Linked DNA regions of Elephas maximus indicus. The protein of the gene in region 3 purifies or fractionates together with the protein of the main gene of each other region. This does not show direct contact. Links are inferred from orthologs where the notes say so. Each region holds a gene or a part of one and is shown on either strand. Other genes may lie near its edges. The genes, in order: PPME1, IER5 and PPP2R2D.

The links.
Region 1: the proteins of PPP2R2D (region 3) and PPME1 purify together in Homo sapiens (affinity purification with mass spectrometry; 4 studies listed by BioGRID and IntAct, counting the BioPlex papers as one, with this or other methods). This does not show direct contact. The link is inferred for Elephas maximus indicus from reciprocal best matches to the Homo sapiens genes PPP2R2D and PPME1.
Region 2: the proteins of PPP2R2D (region 3) and IER5 purify together in Homo sapiens (affinity purification with mass spectrometry; 3 studies listed by BioGRID and IntAct, counting the BioPlex papers as one, with this or other methods). This does not show direct contact. The link is inferred for Elephas maximus indicus from reciprocal best matches to the Homo sapiens genes PPP2R2D and IER5.

Annotation. Positions count from the first base shown.
Region 1 is NC_064825.1:48,323,601-48,330,694, reverse strand, and holds the start of PPME1 (protein phosphatase methylesterase 1), read left to right. Parts: upstream 1-4,042; 5' UTR 4,043-4,279; coding exon 4,280-4,380; intron 4,381-7,094. Other genes in the region: C2CD3 (C2 domain-containing protein 3), read right to left, coding at 442-711, 3,603-3,657. UniProt on the Homo sapiens protein: Demethylates proteins that have been reversibly carboxymethylated. Demethylates PPP2CB (in vitro) and PPP2CA. Binding to PPP2CA displaces the manganese ion and inactivates the enzyme.
Region 2 is NC_064842.1:44,213,311-44,219,424, reverse strand, and holds IER5 (immediate early response gene 5 protein), read right to left. Parts: upstream 2,063-6,114; 5' UTR 1,861-2,062; coding exon 826-1,860; 3' UTR 540-825; downstream 1-539. UniProt on the Homo sapiens protein: Plays a role as a transcription factor. Mediates positive transcriptional regulation of several chaperone genes during the heat shock response in a HSF1-dependent manner. Mediates negative transcriptional regulation of CDC25B expression.
Region 3 is NC_064834.1:81,627,868-81,635,213, forward strand, and holds the start of PPP2R2D (serine/threonine-protein phosphatase 2A 55 kDa regulatory subunit B delta isoform), read left to right. Parts: upstream 1-4,317; 5' UTR 4,318-4,476; coding exon 4,477-4,483; intron 4,484-4,556; coding exon 4,557-4,649; intron 4,650-7,346. UniProt on the Homo sapiens protein: Substrate-recognition subunit of protein phosphatase 2A (PP2A) that plays a key role in cell cycle by controlling mitosis entry and exit. Involved in chromosome clustering during late mitosis by mediating dephosphorylation of MKI67.

The DNA.
Region 1 (7,094 bases), on a different chromosome or scaffold from region 3:
CATCTTGTATTATCAGTAAATTTTACATCTGCAGTCTCTTTCCTCAGGCATAATGTAAGCCAAAAGCAGAGACATTACACTTATTAACTGAAGAAGCATGGTATAGTGAAAAGAGCATGATTTTTGGTGTCTCAAGTCCTAGTTCTGCCATCTATCAACCATGTGACTTAGAGAGTATTCATTTCATCTTTCTGAATCTCAGTTTCACTGTCTACAAAACAGAGGAACTACTTATCTTGCAGAGTTATTCTAAAGATTAGAAATAATACATATAAACCGTTAGCACATGGTGTATACTCAATAAAATGGTTATTATAAAGCCTCTTTGACTCTTCAACAAGTAGCAATGCCCACCACATACTAGGAACACAATAACACTTATTGCTAACAACATAACCACATGCTTACTAGACCTGCAGGTTAAATAAGACAAAAACATACCTGTTAGATAAGAGGTAAACTGCTTTGGACCACAGCGAACAGCATAACGTGTGGTTGTTCTCACAGCTTTTGGCTCAGTCTGCAAAGCATCTCTAGGACAAAAGAAGGTTCCGTCTGATGTTTCTCCCCACCATCTCACTCGGACAAGTACACAAGTGGGAGGCTTTGCAATCTTCCATATGACTTTATTAATAGTAAGTTTCAGAAAGCAGCGCAATTGGCCTTCAACCAGAGGTGGAAGGCTTGTAGATGGAGAAATATCACTCAAAGCTGTGGAATAATCCAAGAACCCTGAGTCAAAATTTAGACTAAATATAAAAATCATGAATGAAAAACAAACAAAAAACACTTTAGTCTCTACAGAGAGAAGGTTTTTTCTACCTACTTCAATACATGATAAGTAACTAGCTAACCAGGCTGTGGAATAACCTATCTGGTCGTTTACACCACCCTGATTGTTGTTGGGAAACCCTGGTGGTGTAGTGGTTAAGTACTATAGCTGCTAACCAAGAGGTCGGCAGTTTGAATCTGCCAGGTGCTCCTTGGAAACTCTATGGGGCAGTTCTACCCTGTCCTATAGGGTTGCTATGAGTTGGAATTGACTCGATGGCTGTGGGTTTGGTTTTGGTTTTGATTGTTGTTGTTAGTTGCCATCACATTGATTCCAACTCATGGTGACCACGTTTGCACTGCAGAACTGCTCCACAGGGTCTTCAAGGCTGGGACCTCTCGGAAGCCAGGCCTTACACTTCCGAGGTGCCTCCGGGTTGGTTTTAACCGCTAATCTTTAGTTAGTAGTTTAGTGTTTATAACCATTTGAGCCAACCAGAGACTCCAGCCATCCTGATAGCCCATTAGTATTTAGGCTCTGAGTCAGGTTATTCTAAGTAAAGAACATACCAACTTAAGACATACTAATATAAACTTCTCTTTAATTGAAATTAATTAATTTAAAAAATACAAATACAATGATACAGTTTTTTAAAATCTCAGAAATAGCTGAATTTTTGCTGCCAAATACTGATGTTTTAAGGCAACATCCATGATTTTTAAGATATGTTATCTTTACCCAATTCACTTATTTTAAAAAACTATCAACTAAACATAAAACAGCAACAACTCCCTTCACTGAACTCCCAAACAATTTAGTGTGTGCCACACAATCCAATATTTCAATAAAGACCATCTTAAACTGTGTCTTGTCTCTCCTACCAAAATCATAAAGTCAATGAAGACAGAGACTATCATCTTTACATTCTGCCGCTACTTTTTAGAACATTGTTGGATTCACAATATTTATTGGCTTTCAGAAAGATAATACATCAACATGGGGCAATTATCATGACTTTCTATGAAGCTTTGCTTTAACGGCCTTGTCTTCCATTCACAGCATCATTTCACCATGTGACTTTGAGTTTTCCTCTGACTTTTCTCTTGAAGAGTGGTCATGCCTCATAAGAAAATACACTTGAACCAGAATCTAACAGATCAGGAATCTACAAAAATAATTCTTTAGGTTTCTGAAGCAAATACCCTTTACTGCCCTTCATAATGGAAAAACTCCCACCATAATCTTTATGGAGCCTGGTGGCATAGTGGTTAAGAGCTCGGTTGCTAACCAAAAGGTCAGCAGTTCACATCTACCAACCGCTCCTTGGAAACTCTATGGAGTTGTTCTACTCTGTCCTATAGGGTCACTATGAATGGGAATCAAGTTGACCACACCTAACAACAACAATGAAATCTTTACGGATAATTAGTTTCAATATAAAAATTATACACAGGTTTGTACATGTGCCTCACTGCATATGCATCTGTTATAGCAAGAAGGACGTTATTTTCTATACTACGGTTGTCATTTCTACTTTGGTTTGTCTTTTATCAATCAAATGTGCTTGACTGATTTGCCAAAGGGAGCACTGGCATTGAAAACCTCCATGTCTCTGTATCAGATTCTCCTACCATATCTGGCAGGAAAAGCACTGCCTCACAACTGCCTTACAGCTTGGATAAGATTCTTTCCCATACAGTAGCTTCAGCCTTCAACCCAATGGCCTTAATGTACTATCAGTATTCCTAATACCCTTTCTTCACTGTTGCTGTTGTTAGTTGCCATCTGGCTCATTGTGACCCCATGTGTGCAGAGTAGAACTGATTCATAGGGTTTTTTAAGGCTGTGACCTTTTGGAAGCAGATGGCAAGGCCTGTCTGCTGAGGTGCCTCTGGGTGAGCTGGAACCACCAACCTTTCAGCTAATAGTTGAACATGTAACCACTTGCACCACCCAGGGTCTCTTAAAGTGCCCATAATATAAAAAAGTCATGGCCACCTAATTTTCTTTTTTTCTTGAAGGCAGCCCTAGAGAGATCCAACTTCCAGTTTTCTGATCTGCCCTGGGTTCCTAGCATGACTGTTCTCACTACAGCTAACACACTCCTACCCTTTTGGACACCTTGTTTCTCCATCAGTGTCCTAACCTAATGAGGTCCTCTTGCATCTCTGCAGCCTGCCCTCTAATGTTCCCCTTCCTAGCCACCTCACATCCTTCAGAAGATCCTCATGCCTTCACTCCCACTCCAATCCTACCACACCTTGTCACTACCCCTTTGCTGTTAAGTCCAATCCGACACATTGGGACCTTATTTTTTCAGCTCGTCACTACCCACTCTTTTCTCCCTCTCTGTTGCACAACTCTCCCAACTCTCGCTGGTAGGCCTCACTTGCTTCTTTCATTCAACTAACATTTATTGAGTAATGCTTTGCGCTAGTCCTTGGGGATCCAATAATGTATAAAACGTTCTTGCCCACTGACTTAGTCCCCTCTCCAACTTATGTTTCCTGTGGCCCCCTGAAGACCTTCAAAGTCTTTACCCCCCCCCCACACGTTTAACTTTGTTATTAAAAACACTCCTGGAATTTTTCCTTCCCCTCTCCTAGAGATGTCCTACTTGTACCTTTTTAGCCCTCACCAGCCCACTCGTTCCCGTTTTTTGCGTCGCACCCCATTTCCTTTTCATTCTTTGGAGGGCCAACTGTCCTCTCTTTTAACCTTCTGACTCCTTGGTTATTTTCCTTCTTCGTCCCATCTTTCTTTTAAACCCTGCTCCTTGCCCAAACCCCGCCCGGTTACGCTTTTTTCAGCCTTTGGTTGCTCGGGTTACCTCTCTTTTTGCGGCCACGGCCACCCCCAGGTCCCTGGCCTTTTCGTTGTTTCATGCCGAACCCGAGCTCTTTTTCACCAACTTAGCTCCGGACCCAGCACCGACGTCTTACCCTCCCGCCATCCCTTCTCCTGGCGCCAGCGTTCCCCGGCAACCGGCGCCGCTGGGCAGCCTGGGAGGAAGGAAAAAGCAACTCTCTCCTTAACAGTTTCTGGGAAGCCGTCAGAATGGAAGGCGCCAAGACTCCTTCCCGCCAGTAGACTACAACACCCAGGATGCTTTGCTATGCTACCTCTGCGGGGTCGGAAGCGGTCACCTCCCGCTGCGCAAGCGCGAAGGGCTAGGCCCTTAGACGACTCCATTGCCCAGGGTGCATTGCCTTTCAGAGGGCTCGTCTTTCCGGCGAGAGCTGTCGAGTTCTCCACTTGGGGTTTCAGCGGTCCGCAGACTCCGTTACCCAGCTTCCTTTGTGGGAGTGCTGTGGCGCACTTCCGGTGGAGGTGCTGAGAGAGGGGGTGGAGTCTGAGGAGCCGGTGGGCGGTAGGCGGTGCTGCCGGTGGCTGAGGGCTGTCTAAAGGCGACAGGGCGTCGCTAGGGAGCCATCTGTGACCGGTTGGCCCACACTTAACGTGGGACGAAGCTTCGGCTGCTGTTTGAGTACGTGCGGCCTCGCTTTCATGTCGGCCCTCGAGAAGAGCATGCACCTTGGCCGCCTGCCCTCTCGCCCTCCCCTACCCGGCAGCGGGGGCAGTCAGAGCGGAGCCAAGATGCGAATGGGGTACGTGACCCATACCCCTTCTCCCTAGAGGCCAGGCCCCGGCCATTGGAGAATGGCGTTTCTGGGCGTTTAGAGCAGCACGGGAGGAGAGGCTAAGGATAGAAGAACGCTGGCAGCGGCCTGGGAGAGGTTTGGTTGGAGTAGAAGGCAGATCTGGGAGACTAGAGGAGTCGCCAGGTCAATGGAAATTGGAGGACACCATCAGAGACTGGCTTGAAGGAAAAATTAGAGGAATAGCGATGTTCAAGGGAAAGGGAATGAGGCAAAGATTAGGGAAACTGAGAGGATAATTAAGGGATGTGGGAGGCACCTCCAGAGGAAGGAATGAAAGAGGTTTGAGGAAAGGAATAGAGCCGTGACAAAGGTGGGAGGTAAATGTGCCAGGCAGTGCTGGAGGAAATACGGAATGACTGAGAGAAAAGTTGAGGGGAATTGGGGGAACGGCTTGGGAGTAGTAAGAAGACTGTGAGAACTAGATTTTAGAAAAGCTGAGGGGCATAGGGAACACCTGAGGTAGGGTTGGGGAAGAAAAAAGGAGAGCTTAGGAGCAGAAGGTTCTAGACAGAGTTCCCAGAGGCATAAGAGACAGATCCAGGGAGTGAGGGGTGACTAATAGATTAGGTCTCTTAAGGGTGAACTGAGAAAGCTTGGTAAATAGGCCTAAAGAAAGATGGAGAATATAGCCAGGAAGATTGTTAAGGGTAATAGGAACGTTTTTTGAGAAGCTGGGAAGGAGTGACGAAGGAGAGGTCTGAGGAGTTTAGAGAGTGATGGTGGGCCCTAGGGATTGAGAAATGATTAAGAATAGGGTTTAGTGAATGGAAATGATGCAGAGGCGAGGTCTGGGAAGCTTTAAGAAAAAGATTTGGACAGTTGATTTTTGCCGGACAAGTAGATTTGAGGGAAGCAACGTACTGGCCTTACAATTCTCAGAGAAGTCATGAAGCATTGGGAGTAGCTGCTTAAAATAAGAAAGTGTTGGGGGAAAACAGTTTGATTGGGAGAGATGGAGCCGTGTGGAAGGGATAGGCTTTGGAATTTTAGGTCACTGAATGGCTTGTGCCAGGTTTGGGGATACTTAGGCAACAGAAAGAAGTCATAAAAGTTGAAGATGGGAGAGGCAATTGCTGGAAAGTAAAGGGAATTGAATAATCAGTTGGGATTGAGGGGTGTTTGTAGTGTCAGAATTCTGGGGACTAGTGACTGTAGAAAAGGGGTAGGAAGGATATGTAGGTATGAAGTAGTGAAGAATGTGTGTTTGGGACTCCAGAGGTGGGTTGGTTGATATTCTGGAAACGAGGACTCCTGAGGAGAAACTGTAGGTTCTGAAGAAGTAATAATTTACAAAAACTGATCAAAAATGAAATAAGCAAGAGATGCAGTACTGTGAAATTAGGTCCTAGGAATGAAGGGAAAGGAGAATCCTATAAATTAAAACAGTGGGGCAGAGAGATGGTGAGAATGGTTGGAGAAACCAGGGAAGGAAACGAAGATGTACAGTAGAAGAAATGAGGAAACTTTGACAGAAGGAGAGAGATTGGTGTATGCACAATAGAAAGACGTGGTAGAAGGCTACATGAAAGATAAAATGAGGATTGCTTTGGCTTTGGAAGAATGGAAGGTAGGACTAACATGAATAAAGGGAATCTGGAAACTGATCCATAGCAGATTATTTGGGAGAATTAATCTGGGGTATAAAATTAATGTAACATTTAGTTGTTGCCTTTTTCAAACTAAAATTTCCTCTTTCAGTATACCAGCACACTCTCTCTATAAATATAAAAAATATATTTTTAAAAATAACTAAACTATATATACTTTGATGTTGTTAGGTACTGTTGAGTCGGTTCTGACTCACAGTGACTCTATAGGACAGGGTAGAACTGCCCCATAGGCTTTAATAAGGAGCTGCTGGTGGATTTGAACTGCCAACCTTTTGGTTAATAGCCAAGCTCTTAAGCACCATGCCACTAGGGCTCTGTACTTTCAGTAAGTTTAATTAGAGCTCAGCTCCTCACCTTGTCAAAACCAGTTCTCTGAAGAGGAAGGGGTGGGGGGGAATAACCACGAGAAAACAAAGGAGAAATCTGCTGATTAGAAGATTGTATAGTTGTTAGTAACTTAACTTTTTCAGTAACTTGTCCTTTTTAAATAGATGCTTTGGGCTTCGTGATTTAGGTTGGCTGCTTATCTTGAAAAAATAAAGTTATTTAGGAAGATGCGTTTTTATCATAGTATTGGGAAGAGAAGAGCATGATTTTACTATATTGGTGAATTTTGTGTGATCCTCAAGTGGCTTATTTTCCTATATTTTTGTTTTCTGCTTCCTTTTTGGTACCTTGGCAAGGCCTCACCTAAGTCTGATGGTAGTGACAGAATGGACTGTCTTATCTAGACTCATAAAGCTAGACAAGAGCTTAGAAGTGATCTCATTTCACTACTTCATTTTATAGTTGAGGAAACTGAGACTCAGAGAATTCTGTATTCTGTGAGGCAAGCTAGGGCAGGGGATATTTTCTCTTGATAAACGAAAAAATTGAGGCTCAGGTGTTCCTGCTCTTAGGCAGCCTAGGAACTTAGTGGTAGGGCCACTAAGGACTAGGGTCACTTGACTCTGAGACCCATTGTTTTTTGGATTCATAGTTGTTATCCTGGAAATACTAATTTGAGTTGTATAGCTTATTCCTTTGCAGATACTCTAGGATTCAGTCTTT
Region 2 (6,114 bases), on a different chromosome or scaffold from region 3:
AAAACCATAAGGTCTTTCCACTTAGGGCTTCTGTCTGTAAACTTTGTTTCAGGCAACACTTTTTAAAAGCACTGTGTAGTAGTTCTGAGCTAGAGCTTTTAAAAATATATCTTTTCTCTATGAACTCCCTATTTCCAAGCTTGAACTCTTCTGGGAAGTTTATCAAGCTTTCTACCCTGTGAGAAAGAGATGGGCTGTTAATATTCCCTTTCCCAGAGTAATCACAGGGTATAAACGTTTCTTCGTTGAGAGAGAAAGGTGGGGAGGGAGAGAAATAACATAAGTCTCTGGCTCCAGACTAAATCCCTCTAGTCTTAGGAAATCCTGTGAGGAAACGCCACTCCGGGCCCTGGTGTGGCTCTAGCTTTCATGTGAGGGGTGTGTGTAAAGTCCCTTCCTCCCCTGAGAACGAATGGGGAACTCCCCATTTTCTCCGCTTCCTTCTCGGTGCTGTCGGCAGAGGAAAGTCCCTGTCTGCCCCCGATCTCTTAAGCCCGCGGGAAGGGGTGATGCATTCAAGAAAGACAAAATAGTCTTAATTCAACAAGACAAACTTGCATACACACAGACATACACATACACAAAAGTTAACAATCGTTCTCTTCCCCAAAGCCTCCAACTCCCAAGTCTCGAGACGAGGCTCCCGAGTCGTGGCACAGCAGGGCTGCCGAGCCCACAGGCAGTTTCTGCCGCCCGGCAGCCACCAGTCTGCCCAGCGCGCCCAGCGCCTACGGTCTGGGGGGTCCTCGCAGCCGGGAGAGGCCCAGCCCTCCATTCGAGGACGCCCACTGCTCAATCTCCTTCCCTCGCAGGGACCCGGGGGGCTCAGAAGGCCACGATGGCTGTGCTCCAAGGGCTCATGTCTCTCAGCACCGGCTTATCGCAGCAGATCTGCCCGGGCTCGGCGGCTTCCGGCGCGCTCTCCTCGCCCTCTTCTTCCTCCAGGCCGCCCCCGGGGCTTTTTTTCCGTAAGAGTCCCGAGAAGCTGGAACCGAAAATGCTAATGAGATTCGCCACGTTACCGGTCTCCATCTCCTCCTCCTCGTCTCCCCCGCCCGGCTGCTCCTCCAGGTGCCGGCGGGGCTTCTTCAGCGGGGTCGAGTCGGGCACCGGGCAGCCCGCGGGGCCGCCGCCCGCCCCCGCCGCGCTGCGCTTCCTGGGGCAGACGGGGGGCGGCGCGGGGGGCTCGTCCTCGGCGGCCCTGGAGGCGCAGCGGCAGTCAGCGCGCCGGGACCCGGTCGGGGCGCCCGGCTTGTCCTCCCTGCCCACCGGGCAGCAGCAGTGGCGGCGCGCGGCCCGAGGCTCCTCGGGGAGAAGGTCCGAGCCTCCGGCGGGGACCCCGGGCTCTCCGGCCTCCACCTTGTGCGGTCCCTCCACCTTGTGCGGTCCCTCCACGCGGCGCCAGGCAGCTTCCGCCGCCTCCGCCTCTCCGCCCAGCAGAGTGTCCCCGGTTCCCGTCACAGCGGCCGCGGGCTCCGCGCCACCCGTCCGCGGCTCGCCTGGGGCAGCGGGACGCTCCGGCTGCGGCTCGGCCTCCTGCCAGGTGGCGCGGGCGGCCGGCGGTGGCGGCTCCCCCCAGCCGGCGGGTGGCCTGGCTGCCGGCTCCCGGGACTGCTGCGGCTCCCGGGTCTGCTGCGGCGGCTCCCAGGACTGCTGCGGCGGGGCGCCGGGGCTCCCCGCGGGGCCGGCCAGGTAGAGGCCCGGGCACGGGTCACTCAGGTATACCTGGCGGGCGCTGCGAAGCACCAGCGAGACCAGCAGGTTCTTGTGCAGCTTGATGCCGCCGCGCTGGACCCGGGAGTTGTAGATCTTGCCCAGCGAGATGCTGACGATGCGATGAGCCTCCAGCTTGAACTCCATCCTGCCTTCCCCTTGCCCAGGGTCGGCGCGGAGGTGAGAGGGGTGAGCCCCGGCCGCACGTTCGGAAGCTGGGAGGGGAGAGGCGTAGACAAGCCCACTCCGTGGGTGGACCCTCGGAATCTGAAGACTCCGAAGACAAACGACGGGTGACGCTCGCGCTGACCCCCTAGCCCGGTCACACAAAAAGCCGCACACTTTTGGGTCCGGTCGCTAACTGAGGGCAAACCTGCCGGCCCGCGCCTTATATAGGCCCCTCGAGCGCCAGCCAATCACGAAGAGCCGCCAACCGTTCTGGGGCCGGTAGGCGCGCCCGTGTGCTACGCACCCAGCCAATCGGAGAGCGAGGAGGGGAGCATGGGCCGATTCGAACGTTAGTCCCGCGGAGCAGGCTCTTAAAGGGGGCGACGGCGTGCATCCGACAGACGAGTGCGGTCTGGGCGGGTGATCGGAGGGCGGAGGGCGAGTGTTTAGGTAGGAGATGTACTCACGGTTGCTATTGTTGGAAATTAAAGATTGTGGCTTGTGCCCTGGCTTGCCAAAAACAAAGCTCCAACCATTGGCACTTTCATCTGCCTCTGGCAGTGGACTCTGCTCGACAATAAAGTCCTGCTCCCGCCCCATCAGCTCCCCATTTCCGGGCAGCACGCACCTGTAGATGCCTGGTCACCGAGGACATGGAGAAGATGACAATATCTGCAAGAGGAGACCCTGGTAGCAGGTACTTTAAAGTAGTATTACTACAAGATGTTTGGCAAATACACGTTTTTAAGAGTTCCTTGCACCGGAAAACCAATGGCACACACACACTTTACCACCTGCCAGTGCTAAAAGTTCCTAAGGAGTAATTGAGTGGGGCCAACAGTTAAGCACTGCTCAACCACTAGCCAAAGGTTAGCGGTTGGAACCCACCCAGAAGCCCCTCAGAAGACAGGCCTGGTGTTCTGCTTCTGAAAGGTCATAGCCTTGAAAACTCTATGAAGCACAGTTCTACTCTGACACACGTGGGGTCACCATGAGTCAGAATCAACAGCAACTAACCGCAACAAAAGTCCCCGTTTTAGGCTTCTTATCAAAGAATTGTGCCTAAGTCCAAAAGTACTCGTTCTCCACTAAACATCTATCCCTTTGTTCTCTAGATTCTAGAACACACCCGTTTGTCACATATGTTACAAATAAAAAGTGTTACACATTTTCCAAGATGATTTTTCTTCAAGAACTGACCAGTCCATCTTTGGAAAATTCTAGCAAATGCTAAAAATACAAATAGAGAAGTCCAGTGTTCCCATCGTGATGTCATAATTTTATTTTGCATCAAGGTAAAAATATAGGGGGAGGGTGTTCCAGAATTATCTGGTCAGTCAGCAACTTATTCCATTTATTGATTCTTAGTACATGGCATCAGAGCAGAATCACAACAGGGTTGTCCAGGGTCCAGGACTGGGAACCTGGATCTGCCTGATGAATCTGGGCAAATAACCTCAGGATGCTTTAATTTTCCCAGCTCTAAAAAGGAGAAGTCACACACCCATCTGGCCTATTACGGAGATAATGAGTGACAGCTCTCAGCCACAATCTGAATCATAAAACTAAGCACAGCTTTCTTGGAGTCCATGTAGGAGTGTTTGCCTGATTCTGCACCTGGGTTTGGCCATGTTGTGCATTTAGTTAGGAGAAATACTAGTGAAAGAAGGTGGGCCTGATAATGGCCAGTTCACAATCAGGAGGCCAGTGGGTCAGTGGCGCTACCTTTGTTTGCCCGTACCTTAGTGGTAACTGGTTTTTTTTTCCTACTGGTAAGTGAGATACAAGAATGTGAGACCCAGAGTACCCCGCCTGAGAATTTTCAGCCTGAATAGAGGAGATGAAATAATGATGTAAAGAATTATGAAAACAAATAACATTTGTTAAATAATAACATAAGAAAGTTTTTCTTTTGTTTTCTCTTTCTATGAGTGCTATTAGTCACTATAAAACAGTGGTTAAGAGCACAGGCTCTGAAGACCAACTTCCTTGTTTGGATTGCCCGTTCCATATCTTATTTGTTGTGTGACCTTTGGCAAGTTATTTTCACTTCTTTATGCCTCATGTCTTTTTCATGTGATAAGAGAGGTAATAATTGTCCCTATCTTGTGGAAATTTTGTGAAAATGAAACAAAGTAATACATGTAAAGATCTTAAAACAGCACCTGACATTTTAACTGCAACAAGAAAACCAAACCCATTGCCACTGAGTTGACTCCGACTTACAGCACCCCTTTGGGACAAAGTAGAACTGCCCCATAGGGTTTCCAAGCCTGTAAATCTTTACAGAACCAACCTTTCGGTTAGCAGCCAACTGCTTAACCACTGCACCCCCAGGGCTCCTCACCTGACATATAGTAAGCTGTTAATATCAGTGTATGTTAGTTGTTCCTGTATATCCATTCCATCCACACACAATATTGGAGTGGGAGAAGAACCTCGGGATAGAAGGTATACAAATAAAATTGATTCTATATGGATCAGCACAAAGGTGTTTCCTATGAGGCGGAGGTTAAAGATGTCCCAAATGTCTCGCTTTTCCAAGCCGCTTTACCACTCCATCATCTCTAACATCAACTACTCCCTCTCGCCTCAATACTCTCCCTCCTGTCTTTGGATTCCCTAATTTCCTGCAACATCCCACAGAACTAATGGACCATATAAAGGAAATGGCTCACGGGGTTTTAGAGGCTGGCAAGTCCCAGATTTATAGGTCAGGCATAGACTTCTCCCTGGCAGTCAGTCTCTGCCCAAAGGCATTCAGCTTTCCTGCTCCGTGGGCCTGCCATCTCCTGCAAGTCTCTGCTGCTGATCTCTCCTTCTTTGGTGGTGATGGGCTCTCCCGCTGCTCTTTTAGGGCAAGACTGACCAATCCCATTGGTAGGCCACAATTGCCCTATCACAGAATCACCTGGGTGGGAGTTATAAGACCATGGCTGTAAAGGCCACGCACAGAAGTAATTAATCCACCACAGAAGAAACTTTCACAGAAGTACTTGAGAACAGTGTTGAAAAACACTGAGGGAGGACCCACAAGTTCCAAGCAACAACAGCAGCAGCAGCAATAGTAGCAGAATCTAGCACAGGGAACATCCAATTTGGCAGGTGTGCCCAGCACCTGCACTGAAATAAGTGGAAAAGGCTAGAAGCAGAGACTAGGACTGTATGATATTGGGTCCTAGATGCCTCGATACGAAGATGGGACCACAGGGAGCTACTAAAGGTTGTTGAATAAGGGAACGACAGAATGGATAAAACTGTTGGCTCAGGAAGACCACTGAACTATGAAGCTCATGTGAAGTTTAGGCAGAGTCCTGAAGGCCTCAGCTAGGGTGCAGGTAGCAAGAATGAAAAAACAGAGATAAAAGGAATCTTTGTGATGATCTAGGATGCTCCCCTGCCCCCGGCAGGTCACTGATAGCACAAGCTTCTTGCCTTGGGTGAAGATTTCTGGCCCGCCCAAGCTGGTTCATTTCACTGTCCTCAGGGCCACCACTTAGGCAGGACATTCCTTTATCGCTGCACTTATCACTCTCTCCTGCCACGCCCAGAGCCCCTCCAAGACTGTATTCTCATTGACAGCAAAAACCCATTTCATTTATATTTGTAGCCAAGACATAGTCAAAGTATTTGAAACCTGATGTGACACTGGCACTAACCACCAGAATAGGGTCCTGGAGGCCCTCCCAAAGTGCCAGGGGTTATGGAGGGCTCCTTCAGGAGCGGCTGGGTGGCCAGGAAAGGAGGCACTTAGGGGGCCTGGGGCAGAGGTTTTACCAACTGGCCTGGAAGTATTTAAATATTTTAACAACTGGTGTGGCCATACCCATGCATACTGAGTACTACGTGTTTGAATTAATGAATCCCTAATGATATTATCTACCAGGCACTGTGTTAGTCACTTTCCATGTAGTATTTAGCATCCTTACAAAGTTTTGAAAGTATATATTATCATCTCCATTTACAGGTGAGGAAATTAGATTACGAGAGGTTAAGTTACTTCCCCAAAGTTTTACAGCTGTTGGTGGAGGAGATAGGATTCAACTCTGAACTTATTTCAGTCTGAAGCTTGAGTGTGGCCTTTGGGACTAGATTGCTTGGCTCTATCTCTTATTTGCTGTGTGACCTTTAGAAAGTTATTTCACCTCTAGGTAAAATAAGAAACCTATGGTCTAGTTATGTAACATGAGCAAGGTATTTAACCTTTCTGTGCCCCTTATGTAAAATGGAATA
Region 3 (7,346 bases):
TTCAGATACAAGGTTCTTTTCTGGCTTGATGAAAAATTAGATAAACAGTAAGTTAGACTTTTTAAAAATCAACTTTTATCAATGTGTGATCCACATGCGTACAATATAATGGACCCAATTTAAGTGTGTGGCTTCATGAGTTTTGACAATGGCGTACACCTGTGACCACTGCTCCAGTGAAGACATACAACATTCCCCTGGCTCCAGTGAAGACATACAACATCCCCCTGGCTCCAGTGAAGACATACAACATTCCCCTGGCTCCAGTGAAGACATACAACATTCCCCTGGCTCCAGTGAAGACATACAACATCCCCCTGGCTCCAGTGAAGACATACAACATCCCCCTGGCTCCAGTGAAGACATACAACATTCCCCTGGCTCCAGTGAAGACATACAACATTCCCCTGGCTCCAGTGAAGACATACAACATCCCCCTGGCTCCAGTGAAGACATACAACATTCCCCTGGCTCCAGTGAAGACATACAACATCCCCCTGGCTCCAGTGAAGACATACAACATTCCCCTGGCTCCAGTGAAGACATACAACATCCCCCTGGCTCCAGTGAAGACATACAACATCCCCCTGGCTCCAGTGAAGACATACAACATCCCCCTGGCTCCAGTGAAGACATACAACATTCCCCTGGCTCCAGTGAAGACATACAACATTCCCCTGGCTCCAGTGAAGACATACAACATTCCCCTGGCTCCAGTGAAGACATACAACATTCCCCTGGCTCCAGTGAAGACATACAACATCCCCCTGGCTCCAGTGAAGACATACAACATCCCCCTGGCTCCAGTGAAGACATACAACATCCCCCTGGCTCCAGTGAAGACATACAACATCCCCCTGGCTCCAGAAGGGTATCTCTTGCTCTTTCACAATCAGCCTCCTCCCACAACCATGTTTTTTCCTGTCTCCATATTATAAGCGATCTAAACGGAGGCTCAGCAGTCAGACTGTTTAAAAAATAATTTTTTTTCATCTAGTAGATTCTGACTCCTGGTGACATCATGGAGAGGAAGGAGTCGCCGGATGGGTGACACAAACGGTCAAACGCTCGATGACTAACTGAGATATTGGCAGTTTGCACCCACCCAGAGGCACCTCAGAAGACAGGCCTGGTGATCTGTTTCCAAAAGGTCACATCCTAGAAAACTCTATGGAGCAGTTCTACCCTGCACGCACGGGGTGGCCGTGGTCGGAATCACCATTTACAGCACGTACTCTTTTGTGTCTAGTTCCTTTTGTTCAGCATTGTATTTCTGAGATTCGCCCCTGTCGCTCTTAGGAGTAATTTGTTCTTTTTCGTTACTAAATAGTATTCCGTTGTGTGAGTACAGTACACTAGACTCTAATACACACCAGACACTTCACAACTCGCGATGAGCTCTAAAAATTATGATAAGGAAAAAGAAAACTGTCTTGCAATACCCAAGACTTGTCAACACCAATTAGAATGCAAACAGTGAAATTCACAGAGATATTTAAAGCTCTTTATTATCACAGAAAAGAAGAGTTAAAACTTCTTGCAGGCCAGCTGACGCAGGGTGGGTCCCAAGGAAGACAGCTCACTATTGTCAGGAATATGCTACTTCTGTGGACCACACCTTGTCTTTTAATGTAATTTAATGGTAGCCAATACGTGAAAGAACACATCTGAACCAAGTTATCTTGCCATCATTTGAAAAGACTTATCTTTCCACACATAATGGTAAAACGGAACAAAAAATAGTAAACCAGTTACCGTGGCGTCCACTCCGGCCCACGGTGACCCACGCGTGTCAGAGTAGAACTGTGCTCCACAGGGTTTTCAGTGGCCGATTTTTTGCAAGTAGATCCCCTGATCTTTCTCCCGAGGCACCTCTGGGTGGACTGGAACCTCCAACCGTTTGATTACAAGTGAATGCGTTGGCCCTTTGCACCACCCAGGGACTCCTTCCATACACAAAGCAATTACACAGAAGACAGTCTGATAGCTGGCCAACGTTTCAGTTGCGGTCACCGTCAGGCTGGACAAATCTGCACATAAAAAGGGGAGATTATGGCGCCTTGTCTCTGCTTCTCCTGACAAGGTTCCCGAAGGGCTGTGGTGCTCACTGCCCCCACCACCGCCCCCCCCCCCCCGGCAGCTGCTCTGGGCTTCTGGGCTCCTACCGGGGAAGCTAAGGTCCACCCTGCAGCCTGTCTGATGCCACCCGCCTGCAGCACTGGAGAGCCACAGCTCCCATCCCGTCCCTGGCTCCCCGCCCAGCTCCAGGAAGGCTGCTCCTCTGTCCTCCATTCTCTGTTCCCACACCCTTCCGGACTCTGACCTCGGTTCTCTTCCCCATCCACCCCCGTTCCTGGTGATCTCACCATTCCAGCCTCAAGATGCTGCTGACCCTGAGTTCACACTCCAGCCCCAACCTCCCTGTGATCCCGGCTCGGATGTCTAGCTGCCTTTGCCACCACTCCCTCAGCTGATGGCCACCCCTGGGCCTGTACTGCCACACTGCTCCTTCTGTGGTCCTTCCCTCCTCGAGCTAGGGCTGCAGACCCCAGGAGTGCAGTGGTCCCTCGGTCCCTTCTTCCTCTACATCCATCCCACCTGCACGCCCACCCAAAGCCCTGCCTTGGCAACACTGCGGCTCTGAAATCCAACCGTTCTCACCGTTCTCACTTCACACCCACGTCCACACCCCTCATCACCTTGCCTGGACCCGGCAGTGGTCCCTCACGGGTCTCCTTGCCTTGGCCCTGGAGTCCCTCCTTCTGTTCTCAGCACGGCAGCCACAGTGGCCTGTTACAGCCCCATCGGTCACCACCCTCCCCTCCTCATCACCCCCATAGGGTCCCCCACCCATCAGAATCCTTGAATGGGCCCACATGGGCACACCCTCCATTCTCCTCGCCTTACCTCCCTGTCTTCACGTCTACCTCGTCTCCCTTCACCCACTTTGCTCCCCCACCCCCGGCCTCCTGCCTTGCTGCTCCTTGCTTGTTGCCAGATGCACGCTGCCCCAGGGCCATTGCACCCGCTGTTTCCACCTCCTGGCACAACCTTTCCCAGATATTGCACGGCTGGCTCCCTCAACCCCTCATGGTCCTCCTCATCATTCAGTTTAAAATTGCAAGTTCTCCCCACACACACCCCAAATATACGCCCTTTGCCCGATCTCTACCTTATTTTTCTATCTAGCACCATGTGACTTATTACATAACTTGCTCTTGTTGTCGCCGGAATCCCTGTCTGAAATATAAGCTGGGGAGGTCAGACTCTCTGCCCCCGCCGCACCCTGGCAGCTGGAGCAGGGCGTGGCCATCAATAACCGTTCCTTCAGTGAACGGAGACTCTAGGTCCTTGTTTCTCCTGATTTGGAGCATTGTCTTCTAACTGTGCAATGCGACCACCGCCAACTCTGCAACATCACTGATACGAGTTAGGACTCAGATACCGGTGAAACCCATAAATGAATGGGTAATCTCTCGGATACCAGAGAAAACAAACCCACAAACGAAGAAGAGGCCAGCCACGTTGTATTTCAAACCAAAGGTTTTCATCAAAGTGTCTCCCTAGGTAGCTCCAAGAATCCCTGAGCCGCCGACTTCACAGACACAGGCGAACTCGGCACGGGGTTCTGGCCGCGAACCTGCGGACTCGCCGCGCGGGCCGGGAAGCCCCACCCGTCCGGACATCGCCGTGCCTAGTGCGCCCCTGTTGGCTCCTTCCATTGGCCGAGGCTCCAAGGGGCGGGCCAGAGCAGCACTCAGGCCTCGCCCACCCCTGCCCGGAGGCCACGCCCACCCACCCCCAGACAGCCCTGCGCCGAGCGCGCCCCCATTGGCTGCTCCGCGGCAGGGCTCGCAAAAGGGCGGTGCTCCAATTGGTCGAGGTCCGAGGGGCGGGGCTCAGACTGGCGGTGGGGCACGCCTGAGAGCGAGGCTGAGTCAGCACTGGAAGTCGAGTGTCCACCCTGCTTTCGAAGCCTGTCCACTGGGTGCTTCGGGGTCGCCGCTTCGAGCCCTCTACACCCTCCCTGAGAGCGGCCCCGCAAGTGTTCTTCCAAGGAGCTCCGGACACCCGCCGGCCCGGCGCTCCTCCTGCGTCCCTAAACCGTCTCCTCCCGACCGCGGGTCATGGGGCGGGGAGCGGCTCCGGGCGCGCGACGGCGTCTCGCGCAGGCGCAGTCCACGCGGGGCGCGTCGCCGACAGCCCCCGGGCCGCACGCCAGCCTCGCCCCGCCCTCCCGGGACAGGCCCCGCCCCCGGCCCCGGCCCCTCTCACTGGAGGTGGAGGGATGACGTCATCGAGCGGGGCGACGGGCATTGGGCGCCATTTTGAAAAGGGAAAAAAAAAAATCACTGGCGGAGGCGACTGCCGGGCTGAGGTTCTCGGGAGGCGGTAGCGCGGCGGCTGCTCGTTCCGTGCGCGCAGTCGGCGCGGCATCGTCCGCCCGCCGCCGCCTCAGCGCCGGCCGCCTCGGCGATGGCAGGTGAGGGGCCGCGCGCCGGGGGCGGGACGGGCGGGGGCGGGGGCCGGGCCTGATGCCCCTCGTGTGTTTGCAGGAGCCGGGGGCGGCGGCTGCCCCGCGGGCGGCGGCGACTTCCAGTGGTGCTTCTCGCAGGTGAAGGGGGCCATCGACGAGGATGTGGCGGAAGGTAAGGCTCGGCCGGCCCGAGCGCAGCTCCTGGCGTGACGGGCACGTCCCGGCGCGCGGCCCCGCCTCGGCCTCCGCGCGGTCCCGCTGGTGCAGTGCCGCCCGAGCGGAATCGCGCCGGGCCCTGCAACCCGGGTCCGGGTCACTGTGCGCGCCTCCGGCCGCGGCCGCACCTCGGGCCCCGAGAGGGACCGGCCCGAGCACTTCCCGGGCCCCCGGCGCTCGCGGGCCTCGGAGGGCGGCCCAGGTACAGGCTGGGGCTCAGGCCGGAGAGGGGGACGGCAAGCCTGGAGGGGCCAGACCGGGGGGGGCGATAGAGCCGCGGGGGACGGGCCCGGGGCACAGGTCGAGGGGCGACAGAGCCGCGGGGGACGGGCCCGGGGCACAGGTCGAGGGGCGACAGAGCCGCGGGGGACGGGCCCGGGGCACAGGTCGAGGGGCGCAGACGTGCGGGTACAGGCCTGGGGCACGGGCTGGGGGGCGCAGACGCGGGGGGACGGGCCCGGGTTCAGGTCTGAGAGGGACAAGCCGGCACTCGCCCCGCTCCCCGGGACCACGCTCCCCTCTGCCTGGTGGCCATGGTGGCCTGAGGAGTCGCCCCGTGGGGACGGCTGCAGTGGGGCGCTGTTCTGTACGTGATGGTTTCTTGGTGCGCTCACGGATGTGTCATTTTTAATGGGATATTGGCTGAGAGGGGTTATGTAAGTAGCCTAAGGTCACAGACCGGGGGAGTGGCGGAGACTGGATGAGAACGGGGGTATTTTGAGCCCAGTTCTGGGTTCTTCCCAATGGAAGTGGCCCCCGCCTCCTGTATTTGGTGGAACTAAGAAAATAACTGCAGAAGTTGGGGACTCAGGATACTTAAAATCGGGGTGACTGTACTTGAGGATTAGGGACGGGGCCCACGGTTCTCTAGACCCCAGCGCAGTCTTTAATCTCTCTCTTTTTTTTGGCTCAGTTTCTTCCTCTCTAAGAAGAGAGTTGGTCTACTGGATTCTTAAGACTGCCTTCTAGGGTTCTAAAATTATTGAATTCTACCACCAATCTTGATGTCTGTTTCTTTTTCCCTTTTAGGTTTTAATCTCGAACCTTATGGCATTGCATTAAATTGGCTGGTGGTTTTTTCACAATAGTCTCAAGTGGGCTAAGGCTTAGAGTTTCAGGACTGGGTGGGAAACTCCGTAGGGTGTACCCTGCCTCTCTCAGCTTCCCATGAAGCCACATGTCATCTTAAAGGGAAAAATTGAGTGTAAAAATGATTTTTAGAGACTGAGAAGTTTAACATTTTAGGTTTAGAATAATAAACTTTTTTTGTTGTTCAGCCATCTTACTGAACATTGTGAGCCTTTCACTTTTCAAGAGTGAATTGTCATTGGCTGATGCTTTGCACCAAGTTCATCTTCCCTGCCCCAAGTAACCTTGGCTCTTCCTGTGCCCTTTACTCCCTCTGCCTGCTCCCTGTGCTTCTTCCTGGCAGTGTCTCCTTTGATGCATGACCCTTGGGGACATCTGCGAGCCTTGGCCCATGGGACAGACAGTGCCCAGATTAGGGAAGTGCAGTTGTACTCTAAGAAATTTGTGAAGTCGTGTATGGTTTTTGGTTGTAGCTTGATGATTTTATATAGTGTAAATAAGCATAAACAAGCACGTTGATTCTGTTTCCTTTGGATCAATCTAAAATATGTTACTTTTGTTGTTTGATTTATGTCCCAAGTAGGGAACAGTTCACCTTTACCCAGGTGAAGTGGTGATTTCTATCGAGAGGAAAGCAGAAAATGTTTGTTTGGTGGCAGAGCTTAAGGCCTGTCTTAGTTTCTGGTTTCTTTCTTTTTTCTAGAAGTTTTTATTGCCAAGTTAAATGAATAGAAATTTAAATATAACTGAAATGGTATATTTTAAGTGTGACTTGATACTTTGAAGATGGCATTCTTTCTCTTACAAGAATGGGGACAGAAAGGTTTTGTTCTCAGAATTAAACTGATTAGAAGTTTTTGCAGCCTTAAACCCCGGTTTTGAGCAGAAATTTGAGCTCATCTAGAAGTTTCACGTTTTGGAGTTGCCATCATTTTGGTGACTGCTTTGCGCTGATAGTGTGTGTATCGCAACTTTCTCTTTTAACCCACTCAAGGGGTTAGTCACTTGGCAGGGTTAACACATTTTTAGGTGTTCTTTACTTTGTCACATAGTTGTGATATGAATTTGAATTGCATCATTAACGTAGAGTTTGACAGTAACTAAGGAAAATGCAATCTTTAGCAACTGGTAATTTTTAAGCAACATGTAAAAAGAAGCTGGCAGAATGCTTTGCAGAAGAATTTCTGGCCCAAACTCAACCTTAATGAAGACATTTTGATGCTCAGAGAGTTACTAGGGAATGGGTAGGTAGTTCGTGAGAGGGACTAAGCTTTGACCGGAGGACTTGGGGTGCGCTGAAATCTGAACGAATGCATGGCTCTGAGGCGTGCCTGCGAAGGCTTTATTTTGGCCTGAGCTTTACCGTGAGTCAGCCTTAACCCTACGCTTTAGACCATGTTTCTGCATTCCTTTGGGATGGGTGATAAGAAAGGGCATTAGAAATTGAAGCTAGAGACCTCACCTCACTTCAGTGAGGGTGGTATCTGCAGAGGTAGAGGGGTTGGGGGAAGGAGGGTTAAAAGTAGGCACTCTGAACTTTGAAGATTGTAAAGTGAATGAAAGA